Astyanax mexicanus: one gene and its partner. The protein of the gene in region 2 interacts with the protein of the main gene of each other region in a biochemical or structural test. Links are inferred from orthologs where the notes say so. Each region holds a gene or a part of one and is shown on either strand. Other genes may lie near its edges. The genes, in order: faslg and lyn.

Evidence for each region.
Region 1: the proteins of lyn (region 2) and faslg form a complex in vitro, tested with the Homo sapiens proteins (2 studies listed by BioGRID, with this or other methods). The link is inferred for Astyanax mexicanus from reciprocal best matches to the Homo sapiens genes LYN and FASLG.

What each region holds. Positions count from the first base shown.
Region 1 is NC_064408.1:62,927,623-62,936,218, reverse strand, and holds the start of faslg (tumor necrosis factor ligand superfamily member 6), read right to left. Parts: upstream 3,826-8,596; 5' UTR 2,899-3,825; coding exon 2,599-2,898; intron 1,823-2,598; coding exon 1,777-1,822; intron 1,670-1,776; coding exon 1,613-1,669; intron 654-1,612; coding exon 256-653; 3' UTR 1-255. UniProt on the Homo sapiens protein: Cytokine that binds to TNFRSF6/FAS, a receptor that transduces the apoptotic signal into cells. Involved in cytotoxic T-cell-mediated apoptosis, natural killer cell-mediated apoptosis and in T-cell development.
Region 2 is NC_064411.1:37,347,214-37,355,851, forward strand, and holds the start of lyn (tyrosine-protein kinase Lyn), read left to right. Parts: upstream 1-5,075; 5' UTR 5,076-5,223; intron 5,224-8,638. Other genes in the region: tgs1 (trimethylguanosine synthase), read left to right, coding at 3,300-3,413. UniProt on the Homo sapiens protein: Non-receptor tyrosine-protein kinase that transmits signals from cell surface receptors and plays an important role in the regulation of innate and adaptive immune responses, hematopoiesis, responses to growth factors and cytokines, integrin signaling, but also responses to DNA damage and genotoxic agents.

The DNA of each region.
Region 1 (8,596 bases), on a different chromosome or scaffold from region 2:
ATTGGAGTAAAGCCACTGAAGTACCACATGTTTTTCACAAAAGAAAATCCTGAAATTTAAGTTAAAATTGATCTGTAGTTATTCATTTCTAATTTATCTAAAATTAAACATCCTTTACAGTTTACAGGACAGGCATAACTGAAACTGATGGACCTGTGGACTTTTTCTTTAGAAGACTGTTGGCGGTGGGTAGTTTTGAGCAGGCGCATTTCCTACCCCTGTCTGTTATTTGTACTGTTAGTCACGAGTCTCTGTTCAGGAGAGGCTGAAGATACCAAAGTAATTATCGTAGTATTCATGGCTAAGCCGTTCCGGATGGGACACAGAAACAAACACCAAGTCACCCTGCTTGAGCTCTTGGATGGAGCCAAGATTGCTTCCAGACGTCCACACCTCTGTGCTCCCAGCCTGGCAGAAACCTTCTCTGCGATCACCCATGAGCTTTTGATTTTCACCATTACTCTTCACATACACCTCATGGACCAAGGAGTCCCTCTGTTTGCAGTTATTTGAAAGGAATTCTACACGCGAGTAGACAAAGTAGAGGCCCGTCTTGTTCACCAGTAGACTGCCGTCTCGGTACTGGATGCCCTTTGTAAAAGCACGGCCATGCTTGGATTCCCACTTCAAGGTGTCTGTTCTTTGCATTTTTCCTGAATGGAAATGAAGAAAAAGTTGGTATTACAATTCAGCATTACTAATGAAACCAGAACCAATATGTGGTGAGCCCACCGTTTACACTTTCACTTTCATAATTTCAAAAAAGTATATATTCAAATATTGTATTCAATTAAAAAAAAGCCTCTTAAATATGCCCTAGAGAGAAAAACTGCATTTTCCTTTGCAAGTTAGTTAACTACAACAGGATTTAGGTTACTTGTAGTTATCTGTATGAGGCAACCTTTGCCACAATTTCATAAATCCCAGGAGGGTATGAAAAACCCTTATTTAGCCTTACCACACCACAGGACATGATACCAGCACTATACAGTAAACATTGCTAAATATTTGCTTAATATAGTGACTCATCATGTTGCATAAACACAAGAACACAGTTGAAAAGGGTGTGTAGAACCACATGCGGACTTTTTTTTGTGCCAAAGTTGTGTCTCTTCTATATAGATATTAGAAAATATACTTAATAAATGTATTCAATGGCACCTTTAAGAATTAAAAGTTTGACATATATGATTTTATGATGAGATTTTGACATATAAGAGTTGAGTTCCTGTCCTGATCCACATGGGTTTGGGTGGTAGAACTCCATGGGCAGTCAGTTTGGCTGTATGTTTTAATTCTAGCCATGCAGAAATGCATCACAGCTGTTTGTAGACTCACCAACTGATTAAACAAGTGAAATGAGGAGAGCTGCAGGTTGTTTAGAATGACAGCCTGCAGACAAACAGGCTCGATGTGGACAGGTTTAACACCCCTGCAGTCTGACACACTTAGTCATCCACAGGAAAGTGCTTGTGTGTGTGTGTTTGTGTGTTCATGTGCAGCCTAAAAAGAATCTTTAATTAGTCTTTTATCTGATCCCACACATGATGCCTGCTGTTGTGTAGGAGTTATTTCACACTAGAACCCTTTAGAAAAAAGAAATGGTCTTTACCCATCAGATGTGCAGCTTCAATATGATTGGCCTTTTCATTTGCTTCTACTTGGTTTCCTGAAAACAAGTCAAAAGGTAAGAAGAAGGTTAGTTCTCATGTTTGTGTTTGATGAAGTGCAATAAGCACAAGCAGGCCACAGGTAATAACAGCCTGAGAAACTTACCAACCAGCTTCTGCGGTGCCATGCTTTCAGTTGGTTTGTTCATTTCCTGTCATGAAAGAAATAGAAATACAGTATGAGGGGTGTTAAATTCTGCATATGCATCAGATTTTTATACTGGTGCTTGTAAACAATGTACAGAAACTTCTTAATGTGTAAATGAGGATGAATTAGAGTGTAGAGAGACCATCTTTGTGCCCTTTATGCTCAGCTTTCACTTCTTAAGAAGAAGGTGAGATGTATGTCTGACTGCGCTCTGGTTTGAGTAGAGGATATCCTGTACTGATGGACTGGTGACCACAAACCTTTATCTTTTTTTAGACGATTCCGGTCCGAGTGTGCTCAAGTAAATGTCAAAATGCAGAGAAAATGCTCTAATGCACTAAGCTTTAGAAAAAACTAGAAAATCTAGAAATTAATACATTGAACTTAAATGACAAGGACCTGTGTGGGGGGCAGCACTTCAATTGCTCATGGTTTTTAGTGGCCACTATTTTTTTGTAGTTAAATAATTTAGAACTTTAAATAATTTATAATTTAATATAAGTTAATTCCAGATCAAACTAACAAACAAACAAACACATAATACATAATCAAACATCATACACTTAAACAGGGGAGGGGGGCTCTTTCTAAAAGGCAATGGTCATACATAACCATCAATTTAAAGAACCCACTGAATGCTACATTTATTAAATGCTGAACTGATTCAAAGTTTCTTCTATACAAAGAAGAACTTATTCTTTGTGATTCTTCATAGGCATCAAAATCAGCTATTTATTGTCACTTTATGAAACTCTTCTTGACAAAAGTGAAGCTTCTCACCTTCTTGAGCTTTATCACCTCCATTTCGAGTTTCCTAATTTGGTAGGCTCCCAGTCCCAGTGCAGCAAAGATCACCACCAGCACCATAACCAGGAGGGTTCCTGCAGCAGAGGTCAGTCCTCCACAGCTCCTCCTCTTGGTCTGGGCACGAGCAGGGGGAAAGGTCCAGCAGGGAACCAGGGTCGGATCTGTCCTTGCAGCAGCCATCTGGGGATGATGATGATGATGCTGCTGATGAAGGCCTCCTGCAGCATCCACTGTGAACACTGGTGGATACTGGTACCTTAGGTTACCATTCATGCTTACAGCTCTCAGTCTGTCCAAGGGTGAGTGTGTGTATAAAAAGAGTTACAGAGCTACAAATTTTTAAAAGACTTCTTATGTGGTCGACACTTCATATGTGGCCCTCCCACAACCTACCTCTCTCTCTTTCTCTCAGCATGCATATGCTGATGAGATGGGTTCTGATGACATCACGGACAGGAAAACTTTTTGCCTGCTTACACAATGCACTCAGAGTACATGCATTACAGTTAGTCATGTACAGTGGTGTGAAAAAGTATTGGCCCCCAACAGATTTCTTTTGTTGTTCGCTTTTTTGTCATACTGATATTTTTCAAAATTTTAACAAACAAACTTTAATACCAGATAAAGATAAAAAGCACATTTTAAATGATAGTTTTATTTATCAAAGGAAAAAAAATTCAAACCAATCTAGCCCTGTGTAAAAAAAAAGTGTTTGCCCCTGAACCAAAACACTTGGCAACTACAAAGGTAATCAAGCTTTACCAAAAACTGCCAATGAGTCTTTTGGTGAATTTTGGCCAACTCTCCTCTACAGAATTGTTTTAATTCTGCCACATTGAAGGGATTTCGAGCATGAATGTCCTGTTTAAGATCATTCACAGCATTTCAATCAGACTTAGGCTAGGCTCCAAAACCTTCGTTTTTTTAAGCCATTCAGAGGTGGACTTGTGGACTTGGACTTGTTTGTGTGCTTTGGATCCGTGTCCTGCTGCAAAAGTCTCAGGATTGTCTGGTAAACAGCAGAATTCCTGGTTTAATCTTTTACAGCATGTTGTCCAGGCCCTTAAGCAGAAAAGCAGTCCCAGACCATCACACTACCAACTTCAGATCTGCATAATGTGTTAATTTTTGAGATCTTTTAGCTGCTTTTAGCGGACCAGCTCTTTTCTACTTAATAGTAATGGTCAAAGCCAGATCTGTACCAGGTAAAAGTTTCAAAGGTGAGACCTTATTAAAAATATCTACAGTAGTAATTTCTGTAAAAAAACTGCTGTCTTTTCACTCTAAGAGCAGGACAAGATAAAATATGCTTGATTGATAAAACATTGCCACAGTGATCACACAGGGGAGGTTCATCTCTAATTAGTAAAAAAAACATGGGTGAGCCTAGAATGTCCAATCCTACACCTTGTATAAACAACTTGATCATGTCTACAAGAAAATAATTGAGTTACAGTTTGTTTTACAGAAGTGCAGATTTCATGCAGCTTATTGTCATCGCAGCTGTCCCATTCAGCTTGCCATTTATCAATAATATAGGACGAAAGTACAGGTTTGATATCAGAGACAGGGATCTGGCACTCAGAGATGTTTTCATTCAAAGCTCCTTTAGCAGCACTATCTGCCTTTTCGTTACCACTCAGGCCCATGTGACCAGTTTTTCAAGTATTTTAACAATCAGGGGGTGGTCAGTCTTTAAAAATTCCAAAGCCTGAAGGCATGATCTAGAGTCTGTGCAAATCAGGGGCTTGTGTTGGTGGTGTTGTTCGATGTATTCAAGACTTAAAAGCAAGGCTTGGGCTTCAGCCCAAAAAAAAATAGAGCTAAGTTTGGGATGCGTATTCCACAATGATTGGAAGAGACTACCATTGTTGAGGACACACAAGTATCAGTTTTTGAGCCATCAGTATAGATTGGAATGTACGATGAAAAGCGTTGTCTAACATCAAGAAAGCAACTTTGGTACTCGTTTGGATGTGTACTTGATTTTGTTTTGTGACTCAGGTCCTGCACGATTATAGGTTGCCTCAGGGTCCAAGGGGGAATAGAACAAAGGTGAGTAGATGTTAATCCATCTAGATCAACATTCAAATCATCAAGAAAAGGTTTGATTCTCAGTCCAAAGGGTCTGATAGTCCTGGGTCTAGCCTCATAAAAATTCAGATACTGCGGTTGAAAGACAGTGGAGTAGGCAGGGTTATCTCTGTTTCCCTTGATTTTAACTGCATATTGTAGAGCAAGTTTCAAACGTCGTAGTTGAAGGGATGGTTCTCCAGCTTCCACATAAAGACTCTGCACTGGTGAGGTTCTAAAGGCCCCTAAGGCCAGTCTTAAACCTTGGTGATGAATAGTATCCAACATCTGAGTGTAAGATTTTCTTGCCGATCCATAGACAAAACACCCATAGTCCAAACGGGATCGCACAAGTGTTCTATACAAGCGTAGCAGAACAGTCCTCTCTGCCCTCCATTTCGTCTTTGTCAGCACTTTTAAAATGTCCAGAGTTTTAAAACATCTCTTCTTAAGATTCTTCATATGTGGAATAAAAGATAATTTATTATCAAATGTAAGACCAAGGAATTTAACCTCTTTCACAACTTGGATTGCTGCACCATCCATATATAACAATGGCTCATGGTGTAAAGTTCGCAGTTGACAGAAGTGAGTGCAAACAGTTTTGGGTTTAGAAAACTTGAAGCCATTTTTGAAAGACCAAGTGCTGATCTTAGTGCTGATGAGATTTGGACTGATTTCCTTTGCAATGCTGTTGATTTTGACACTGAAGAGGGTGACAGAGAGGATACTCCCTTGAGGGACTCCTTGTTCGTGTAGATGCTGTGTTGACAAAGTTGTGCCTAATTGAACTTGAAAAACTCTACTGGGTAGAAAATTGGAAATAAAGGTTCTTATGCTGTCAGACAGGTTGTATTAAAGTGACTCACTCCACTGTATAAGCAGATTTATTGTGTATTTGTATCGTCTTTTGTAAACAACAATAACAGAACCATAATTTCTTAAAGAGCCATTTACAGAAGCTTGCAAAAATATTCATAACCATGGAACTTTTCATCACACCTTTCTTCACCTTACAACCACAAACCTAAATGTACTTTTTTTTCCCGATTTTAAATGATAAAACAAAAAAAAATTAGCACATAATAGGGAAGTTGAACAAAAATAAAACATGGTTTCCAAATTTTAAATGAAATAAAAATCTTAAAAAATGTGTGACGTACAAAAGTATTCAAAATAAAATTCAAAATATCCTAATATCCTTACATTTCTAAATAGAATTCATTGACTTGAGACTTGGAAGGAGATTTTACCTTCCAGCAAGACAATGACTCTAAACATACAGCCAGCGCTACAGTGGAATGGTTTAAAACAGAGACTATTAATGTATCAAAGTCCTGACATAAATCTCATTGAGCTTCTGTGGCAAGACTTTCTAACTAGTAATTTCAGATGTGCAAAGCTGGTAGATACAAACCCCAAAAAACCTGCAGCTGTAACTGCAGTGAAAGCTATCTCTACTAATTATTGATATATGTGGGTTGAACACTTTTGCACATCACACTTTTTTTTTTTGGTATTTTTTATGTCATTTGAATTAAACGTCACAATTATGTGCTAATTTCTGTTGGTCTATCCTATAAAATCTCAATAAAATACATAAAAGTTGTGGTTTTACGGTGACAATACTGTATGTGAAAAAGTACAAGCCACTGTAACTGCTTAAAAGATCTTTCTCTATTATGTAAAAGCATAATTGTATGTGGGTCTTTTTAAATCTTGTAAAACATTTCTATCAACATAGTTTGTCTACTTTTCCAAGTCAAATAATCCTTTTTTTGTTTAAAAGTTATTTTTTTAGAGTGTACTGTACACATTTAGCCTTGTAGAGTGCTGTTGTTTATTCATTCTTCTTGTATTGGCACTTTTTATTTATTTTATTTTTACAATTTTTATTACATTTTTGATTAGTGCTGCTTTAGAGTCAGTGCAATGTAATGCCAGTTTATACAGTGTCTCACCATAATGGCCTAGAAAGAGTTCTTCAGAAGACCCACACTGTTTAACCAAAAGACCACCCGTGCCGTTTCAGTGATGTAGGTCAGCAGGTAAAGAATATGTGAAATCTTCTAAGCTCTGAGAAGAACGCTCGGGGGCAGGACTATGACGTTGTAGCTGTTAAAAAGTTTAGAATGACTAAGTGAGATCTGCTACACTGTGAGCAGAGTGAGGCTGATCAATACCCTCCACAACGGCTTTCAGCAGCAAATATATGTGTTTTTAAAAAATGTAAAGAAGAGACTGTATACATGTGATCACCATTTCAGAAACAGGGGGTTGATTGTATATGTAAACAATGATGCAGCAGACTAAGATAGTTTCAGTAACCCTATCAAACAACCACTGAGGAACAGAAGCTGCCACATGAAACGCACTGAGTGTCTTCATGCGCTTTCAGTCTTGCAACTCGCAGTCTCAGGGGTCTGCATGAGAACAGACAGGGTGAGGGGGTGGAGGTTAGTGGTGCGGTTTGAAGCAAATGATGCGAGCGGCATCACTTTAACTTGTACAACTGCTGCAGCATACCCACCACTAACACATTTTCTCAGCACAAGTTTACGGGAACAGGCTGCTTCTTTTTTTTCAGAGCACTCCATGTCCGTTTGCCAATCCTTCAATCTGTCAGCTCCTCCCCAATAGTAAGTCAGTCATGACCACTCATCTCTTTTTTCCAATGTTCTGGTGAGCCCCCTGCTTCTGCACTCTAAGAAAAGTTTCCAATGAGCAAGAATCCTTCTCAGATTCCTTCAGCAGTTTGAGTTTTTCACGGATGGAAACTCTTCAGAGCCCCTCGCTGTCTGTAGCTACACCGGTCTAATGGAATAATGGCCACGAGTCATACTGATGTCTTTTGAAGGTTTATTTCTCCTTTTCTCTCTCCCTCTCTCTGGTCCTTCATCGGACACCGTGAAAACTACACAAAACAAAGCAACCGTTCAGTATATGCTAGCTAGCACAACAATTCTGTGTACAACTCGAAACACAAGATTCATTGAAAAAAGGCATATTAAACACATTACTAAACAATATTTAACAGACAAACATTTACCGTGTGCGCCTTTAGACCTCGTGTTAGCTTTAATTGTTGTTCTCCCTCTGCTGCTAAGTTAGTCTTCTCTCTCTGCCGCCGAGTTAGTTCTGACCCATAATTCTCCAGTTACCCGCCTAACTAACTCGCATCACGTGACTCATTACGCTCCACAGTAAAGCAACACTAAACTAAAAGTCCTCTTTTTAACCAAATATTATTTTAGAGTCGTATATTTATTAACACATTTTACCCTCATTTTTACACCTTTTCGTATAGATTTTTAGCCCCTTTTAACAACCATATGAAATAAAACAACAATGAATGTATAATGATAAATAAACAAAAATATCCGTATTAACATGGCATTCTGACAGTTACACTGTCTGACAAGACATTCGGCCTAGTTGGATAACGACATCTGCGCCTAGTTTCTGTTGCAATCTAGACCACACTACTAAGCTATACCAAACAAATATGAAACATGAATCACCACAATTGGCCTAAATAATATCAGATTCAGCCATCACATACAAGAGGCTTCCAGGAATGATTCACAACCTTTCAATGGAATGGAAGATTTTTCTCACAGCTGATGCTTAAACCGCATTATCATCAAAGAAATGGCAGGCAAAAATGATAAATTCTTTGTATTAAGTGCACAAAAAAAAGACAATAGAATTTTTCATGTTCATTATACACTGACTTCACTCACCAGACTTGAGTGAATATTTGATTAAGGCTTTTTGTATATTTTTTTTAAATGTGTAAAAAAATAAATTGTTGCTTTAAAAAGAGTAATACATAATAATAAATACTTTAGTATCTGCTGACACAAACCAGCATTTTCCTTTAAATAACACTAAACTT
Region 2 (8,638 bases):
TTGCTCAGCTAAAAAAGGATGGGCAGCGACCAAACAATCCTTTTTTGTACGTTAAAAAGGTCTAGATGTAAATATCAGAAAATAAAAGCTACAATTCTGATCCATCATGTCTTTATTGTATAGCAAAACAAAACAGTTGGTCTTTATAGTTTTCCATATTTTTGAACGTGAGTGTATATAGCGCAAATTGCTGTTTAAAAGCATGCTTAAAAATGAATTAGGAACTCCCCCCAGGGGATTGGTTGGTTTACAAATGCCCATACCTCTATTAGTTCCGAGTTGTTATCTTATGAGTGAGGTTGAAAACTGGTCAGTGTGCTTTTCTTTGAGTTCAAGCTGGGCATGTTACCAGGTGCTAGATCGGTGTCATTTCCACAGTCAACCTGAGTATTTTTGCTGACCATGTCCATCCCTTTATGACCACAGTGTACACATCTTCTGATGGCTACTTTCAGCAGGATAATGCACCATGTCATAAAGTATGAATCATCTAGACAATGAGTTCACTGTACTTGAATGGCCTCCTTGGTCAACAGATCTCAATCCAGTAGAGAACCTTTTAGGATGTGGTGAAATGGGAGATTCGCATCATGGATGTGCAGCCGACAAATCTGCAGCAACTGTGTGATGCTATCATGTCAGTATGGACCTGATTCTCTAAGGAATTTTTCCAGTACCTTGTTGAGTCTATGCCAGAAAGAATTAAGGTAGTTCTGAAGGAACCTGGTACTAGCAAGGTGTACCTAATACAGTATGTATATAATGTCAGCTGTAAAAGAGATCTCAAAATTACTTTGGCATATGAGATTTGACCGCAATGCGAGGAAACCACCAGAAGTCCACTGAAACAGAATAGCAGGTGCTCAAAGGTGCTAGAAAATGATTTAATGTTTCAAGAGAAACAGAACGCTGTGAGCTTCACTCAGGAATTCATGGCACGACTACCATCCAGAAAGCTTTTGTATCAAAAGACCAGAGTGCAAAGACCTTTACAGGAAGTTCTGAAGCACAAATACAGTAGCATGCAAAAGTCAAAGAACACCTTGCGTTTATTTAATTCCTAGCCTAGCTTTCAGGAGATATTTCTGCGGAGACAAGAAATAAGATAATCCTCCAGCATCCGCTCAGGACTTCAATGACTGCATTCCAAGAAGATTAAAGCTATTCTGGAGGCGAAGGGTGGCCTATGTCCAACCTTCAATCAGAACAATTTTTTGTTACATAGACCAGAATACACATCAATTAAGCATAAAATCATCGATTAACCCACTGACTAATATGTGGGATCTACATATTAGGCAGCAAATGAACAGTCAGTTCCTAAAGGTGTTGGGGTTTTTGAAAGCAGGAAAAATTGACTTTTAAAAAAAGTGTAGGAATCTGAGCTACGTTGATATCAATGTCCGATTTGTAATGACCAAGGGATTGAATGGTTTAGAGGATCTCCAAAACATCAGATCTTGTAATGTCTTTGAAACAGATGCCCTGCATGGTGTCCAGCATGTTTCGCTGAGCATAATGCCTCTTTTCCCAAACTTGAAATTCCTCCAAAAACTTGCATGGACACAGTGTTTGTTCACGGCTGTGGTAATTAGCGCTATCTGGCTAATATATCAGTTTAAACTGTGCTTTAGGCCAAAAGCAAAATCAAACTACACCAAAGAACAGTGAGGACGGGGCACTAAAACCGCGAAAGAGAGCAGCATTAGTGACGTTTGACCACAACCTTGAAACCTGAAGAGACTAACAGTTAGTCTCTTACAAACAGTATTCACTCTCACAGTAAAGACGATTAAAATCACATTCTAATCAGTAAATCATTTATTTATTACAGCTACATCATCTACATAAACAAGCTACTGATTGTGTAAACTCTGTAAAACCCTGAATTGCCTGCATTAAACTGATTTTACAGTCATACCTATGGAGTAGTTGTAACCCAGTATGAATCTGAAGGGCTTGTAATTTTACACTAGAATAGTCAGAATCATAGAGTGATTTAAATCCTGTGTGAATCTGCAGTGCATCTAGTTTTAAAATCATTAAAAACAAGTATGATTATGCAGTATGTGTAGTTTTAACAATCTAAAAGTAGTAATTAGGTGTAATTTTAACCCAGTATGAGTGTGCGGTGTAAAGCTTTAACAGTCTTACAGTGTTAATTAAGATGTGACAACAAGTATGTATTTACAGTAGGCATAGTTGTTTCAGTCTAGTAGCAATAATTGTCTATTTTTTATCTAGTATGAATCTGCAGTGTGTTTAATTTTATCGTTGGCATTCATAATAATGAACATGTTTTAATCCAGTAAAAATCTAAAATGTTTGTAATTTTAACAGTATGACTAAGAGTTGTGATGTTACTTTAGTCCAGTATGAATCATCACAGTGTGCAAAGTCCAGCAGTATTAACTGTAGAGTGGTTTTATTCCAGTATGAATCAGCAGTGTACTTTATTTTTAAATCTGACCGTCATTATTTTGTAGTGATTTTAGTCCAGTATGAATTTAACAACCATACCATCATAATAGTAGCATGGTATTAATCCAATATGAATTTGCATTTTGTATATATTTTACAGTCTGACAGTGTTAAATATATTCTTTTATTAAACCAGTATGAATTTGCTGTGTGCATAGTATAACAGTTGATCACTCAAGTATGAATCAACATCATGTGCAATTTTTACAAATTGAACTCTTAATTTTGGTTGGCCTGTTTTAATCAGTGTGTTTACAGTTTGTGTAGTCTGGCAGTAATAATTGTATTGTGATTTTGATCCAGTATGAATCTGCAGGGTATATCATTTTTACAGTAAGACAGTTTACAGTATGGTCTGACTTTTATTCAGTATAAACCTGCAGTTTTTATAATTTTTACAGTGAGACAGTATGAATTATAGTCTGATTTTGATCCAGTATGAATGTGCTGTAAAATTGGAGATATTGTTTTTATTGAGACACGTTATTTTAACAGTGTAACCATACTAATTAGTGAGCAATTTTAATGCAGTATGAATATGTCATGCTAGTAAAATATCAGTTATCAGTGAGACGTGGTTGTGAGGTGTATGGTAATTGGTCCTACAGTGTATTACTGAAGTGAACGTCCAGCCTATTACCATCCTTTCTGTGGAAGTTTGAGGAGCTGGGGGACAATCTGCCAGTCAAATCTCATACATTATACAACCTATTTGAAGTAAACAATGTAATCCACCTAGATTTATTGTGTAGGTGTTTAAAGTACAGCAGCTTCAGATTAGTCTTAATGTTTTATTATATTTCTCTCTCTCTTTATAGATTGCAGCTCTGGCAGGCCCTGGTGGGAAAGTGGAAGTGGAGCAGAACTTTCTCAATAACAAACTCAAAACTATAACTGCATACTTCGGCAGTTTGATAAAGTCAGATTCTTAGTTTCGGTATTATTATTTTAACTCCCTCTCCTTTTGTACTTTATACACAGTTCTAATAATGTTCAGTGGATTCTGTACTATAATGTACTATAATGTGTCTTTCTGTATGTTTTATCCTACCATCCTTTTTTTTTACAAGTTATACCTGCCATGTTTGTAAAGGGAATTGTTTGTTTATTTGTTTTTTTAATAAATTAAAGTTCATGTCCTTTCGTGTGCATGTGTGTGTGTGGTCTTTGCCCTCACAGTGTTCACACTAAAACTGTTGACCGAGTGTGGGTGTGGGCAGGCCGGGGAACTGTGGAAGTACACTCATTTATCAGGGCTTAATTGTTTGTTAAATTTGAGGGGTTGCCAAATTGTAGTATTTCCTGCTTAGGAGTAAATGCAGTATAATTCACTATTTATCATCGTTCACTTATCTAGAAATTTGGCTCCTTGACCTGTTTTTTTTTTTTTTTTTTTTTTTTTACACCCAGATCAAAAGGGTAGTCCAACCATTTTTATAATGTAGGCATAGTTCATAGTTCATCACTTGAGATATATGCATAGTCATTCAGAGATTGAAATAGTTTATTGGAGAAAAATGGACTAACTAAAATTGATGGTAAATGTAACTCTGCATTCCCATGCCTACAACACAAATATATAATATTTTGTTTGCGGTCCAAATCAACCAGTGAATCGTTTCCTGTCTTTTAAATTTCATGTTTAATGCTGCTGACTGTATAATAGGAAAAAAAACTTTAAACTCAGGACTTAAACAGGAATAAAAGGGCTGCAAAATTTGTGACGATGGCGAAGACATTTGCCAGTGTTGGCTTGGTGGTTAGAGCAGTGTTATTGGTGATGGGGTTCTGGGTTTAAAACCCAGGTTAAAAAAAAACAGCCATTGTTAAACCCTTAAAGGGAATCCATTAAAGGAGGACGAGTAAACTACCTTAAAGTACTGTGTGTATAAACAGATTTTTCTTTTAAACTTCCTGTGCACATTTAAAGTTATCAGTGCTTTGTTTTAACTATTAGCACCCTCAGAATTCTTCCAGTGAAGTGTGGAACCGTTTTTGGCGACAAAAAAAAATAAAATAGTGATTTCTTTACATGGGCCTGTTAGGAGCATTGAATGCTGGGGGTGAATGGAGGTAGGCTACTCGACAAAAGTTCACACTCGTTATCATATTTTACTACACACAGGAATTCTCCTTTAAGCCTTACTACTTCCCAGTCCCAGGTGGATTTATAGTTCAATTTTAATGTGTCAACACAAATTTTGAATATGGTTGTCAGGAGCCCATATCTACTGTTTATTAACCACCAGAAATACTGTATCAACAACTGAGCAATACCATAGTAGCCACCTTGCTAAAACAGTACTCTGTAGTTTTTTTTTTTTCAATCAATCTTTATTCTGATGCTTTAACTGAGAAACCCCCAAAACAATAACTAAGTAGGAGTGTCTGCGTGGATTAAACATACAGCTCCACCTGTCTAAATTATAGTACGTTTTAGATCTACAACTTGTGCATTGACTTCCATGCGGCTGTTTTATTGGTTCTGGGCTGAAGGCCGGTTCAGTTTAAGCCCTCCATCGTTCACTGCACTGAGTTTTAGCCCCCTTTATGCAAATGCAGTGCGGGTAGCAGCAGGAAGTAGCTGCAGGTTCCTCTTTCTGTCTGTCTGTCCAGCTCACTTCAATGAGTCTCGCGACCACAGGCGAGAGAGAGAGAGCAGCGCGCGCTCGTTTGGCTTTACCCTCAATAAACTCTCTTAACTTAAATGCGTCACAACATTTAAGCTTCATATAACTACAGGTAAGATAATCCTTTAAATACAGTCTCTCTCCAGCTCCTCGTCTTTTTCCTTCCTTCTTCTTTTCTTTCTTTCTTTCAACTCTTTCCTCCTAACGAGCTGTTATACTCCTATCCGTTCTACTTTAAATCTTCTCATCTGACACGTTAACTAGCTGGTGGTTTTCAGGTGCTAACCTGGATAGTGTTAGTGAAAAAGCTGCGGTATTTAAGGTGGAACGGACAATTCGAGTAATAAAATAAGTTAAGGTGATTTGTACAGTTTTGTGACGTGAACAGTTAACTTACAATAAAAGGGTTAAATAAGGTATAAAAGTAAGAAGATTTATAGTAAAACGTTAAAAAAGGTTTAGAAATAGCAAGAAATTACAGTACAGCCATATCAATTTGTATAAAAGTGAAAAAGCTAAACAAAAGGGCTATAAAACAGGAATTAACATTAAAAACAGTAAAACTGTAAAAAGAAACATGGGTGTACAATGTTAAAAAGCTTTAAAACTAGACAATATTGACAGCAAAACGTTACAAAAAAAAGGCTATTAAGCCGATAAAAGATAGAAAACGTAAAACCATATTAAAACAATGAAAGGGTGTGAAAAACAAGTTGACAAGTCAAAGAGGGGTACAAAAAATGAGAAATTTACAGTAAAACATTAAAAATGGTTTAAAATAAAAAATGTGAGAGTAGAACATTAAAAGGATATAGAACTGACAGACAAACATTAAAACTGTATGAAAATAGAAAATAATACTGTAAAATATTTGTAAAAGGGTGTAAAAATTGGAAAAGCAAAACGGTACAAAAAAAGGTACAAAAAAAAGAAAAATTCACAATAAAAAGTAAAATGTTAAAGAGATATAAAATTGGACAATTGACAAAAAAAGCATATGAAACTTAACAAAATGTCAAAAGAAATATTACATTAAAACAGTAAGAAAACAAAAGAATTCCGTAAAAAAAGGATACAGGGCGTAAAAACTGAGAAAAACTAAGAAAATGGTATAACATCAGGAACATTTGACAATACATTGTGAAAGGGTATAAAAACAGCCAAATCTACAGTAAAACATATATATTTTTTATATAACTAGACAAGAATTAACAGTTGAACATTAAATAAAGATATGAAAATTAACATAACTTGACAGTAAAACATTAAAGGCATACAACAGAAACATTTGGAGAGAAGTAATAGGACTGTTGCTGTTTAAGCTACTTTTTCTATTGGCTAACTAAAGTAAACTCTTATTTGTCTCTATATATAGATTCATGTTTAGATTTTGAGAAAAATATCCCACCTTTGCAACATTGTATATTTTTTTGTAATCTTTATCAACAGACATTGCAAATTGTGTTCACATCCTAATGTAGCCTAAAGCAGGAACTGGTCACTCAGTCCAGAATGACAGTTAGAGCGTGAGGTCAGATCAGCTTCTGCTTGACCAGAATAAAATTGCTGCTTAATGCTCATCGTTGCCAGAAAAATGGAGGGGAAATCCTGTACAAGGTCCCAGAAGAGCTTGAAGTGAGAGATCTTAATCAGCAGTGGCTTTAGAAGAGCCCAGTAAACTCCCCCGACTCCCTTATCCCATATCTCATGGTTTTACACATAGTACACATGCAGTGCATTAAACAATTAAGCTCAATTAATATTTGAAATTTAATTAGTAATGATCTTTTCATCTGTACTTTTATAAAAGTGAAGTAATAGTGATTAGTTGGCACATTTTGTCTCGATGGTGCAATGAATTACTCTTTTTGGTCTTCCTGAACACACCCATTTCTTAACATTTTGTCTTTCTTCCTTTTTCTTTTTAATCATGTACATTTTTAATTAACTACTTAATTACTAATCAATAGTGACAGTGCTTATTAATTTAATACCTTCAAACCACTAATTTAGTTTAAATATTTGGCTAGGGAATTGTGAAGTGTGAACTGATTACAAGACCCTCAGCCGATCAACCAATACATTAAAAACAATTTTGTGTAGGTCGCATTTGTGACACCTACATAGGTCTGTCCTCTCGATGAGGGACTTTACAAGACCTGTGAAGGTGCCCTGTGGTATCTGGCATCAAGACATTAGCAGCAGACCCTTTATGCTATGTAAGCTGGGACGTGGGGCCTCCATTGATCATATCAGTGGTCTTCACTGGTTTCCTGTCTTGAAGCACTTCTGTGTACTGGAAAAATCCCACTAAAGACTTGCCTGATATTTTGGAGATGCTCTGATCCAGTTGTCTAGGTGTCACTATTTGGCCTTGCGACAGTGTCTCAGATTCTCATGCTTGCCCTTTTTATCTTCAAGAACTGACTGTTCACTTTGAGCCTAAAATATCCCACTTCTGGACAGGTGCCTTTGTAAAAAAAATCAACCAATCCATGTTTTTTGCCTCATCTGTCCGCAGTTATAATCTATTGACTGATTTATATAATATAAATAATTGACGTTTTATTTATAAAAATCCTATAAATAAACTTTTCTGGTTTTTAACATACAGAACAGAATTTGGCTATAAATAAAAACAATAGTAATGATATTAGCCAGATGTTTATGTCTGGAATAAAATGATCATATTTTATATCTATAAAAATTAAATAACGTACAATTTGAGGTTTAAAGGACGATTAGTATAAAAGCTACTTGGCCTTTCGTGATACTAGAGTTAACGCCGTATCATACAATACACTTTTATACCCTCAATCATTTTTGCCGGCCTCCGTATTGCAAATTCACTTTAGTTTAGTTAATGAGTATGTACGCACCAAAAATAAAATCTGTGAGCAAAACTCAACAAAATGAAACGTTTGCCCAAAAGTTGAATAATAAATATAGAACACATTTTTTTTCACAGCTTTTCATTAATTTTGTTTACTTTTTTCACCACTGCATCAAATAAAATGGATTTTTCTAAAATGAAACTACAAAACTACAATTTTAGCCTTTTAGATTATCTTATGTACTGTTTTACTGAGACAATGAAAAACAAGTATCTCCTTTGTTGAAAGACTGTTTCAAAATTCCTTAATGATTATATCAGTAGTGATTCTCCTAAATTACCTGAAATAAACTTTTTCCATTTCCATTGAAAGTTTTTATCTCTCTCTTGTAAAGTAGCATTTTAATCTCAGTTCTGGTGTCAGTTTTGTTCTAGCCGTTGTCATCTTGTTACACTTGTCAGTGTTCTGGGTACTGGTCACTCTGGCCACAGGGCTTGTTACAAAATCTGAACAGGAAGCGACTGTAGAGCAGCTCTAAAATGAACGGTATTTTCCAGTTTTACAGAATGCCCTTAAAATGCCTGCTGAACCAATTTTTCCTTCAGTTTCATTAAATGGACGTGTTGACTAAGGCTCTATAGTATACAAACTTACTGGTTTTACAGGTTTTACACCTAAATACACAAAATTAGG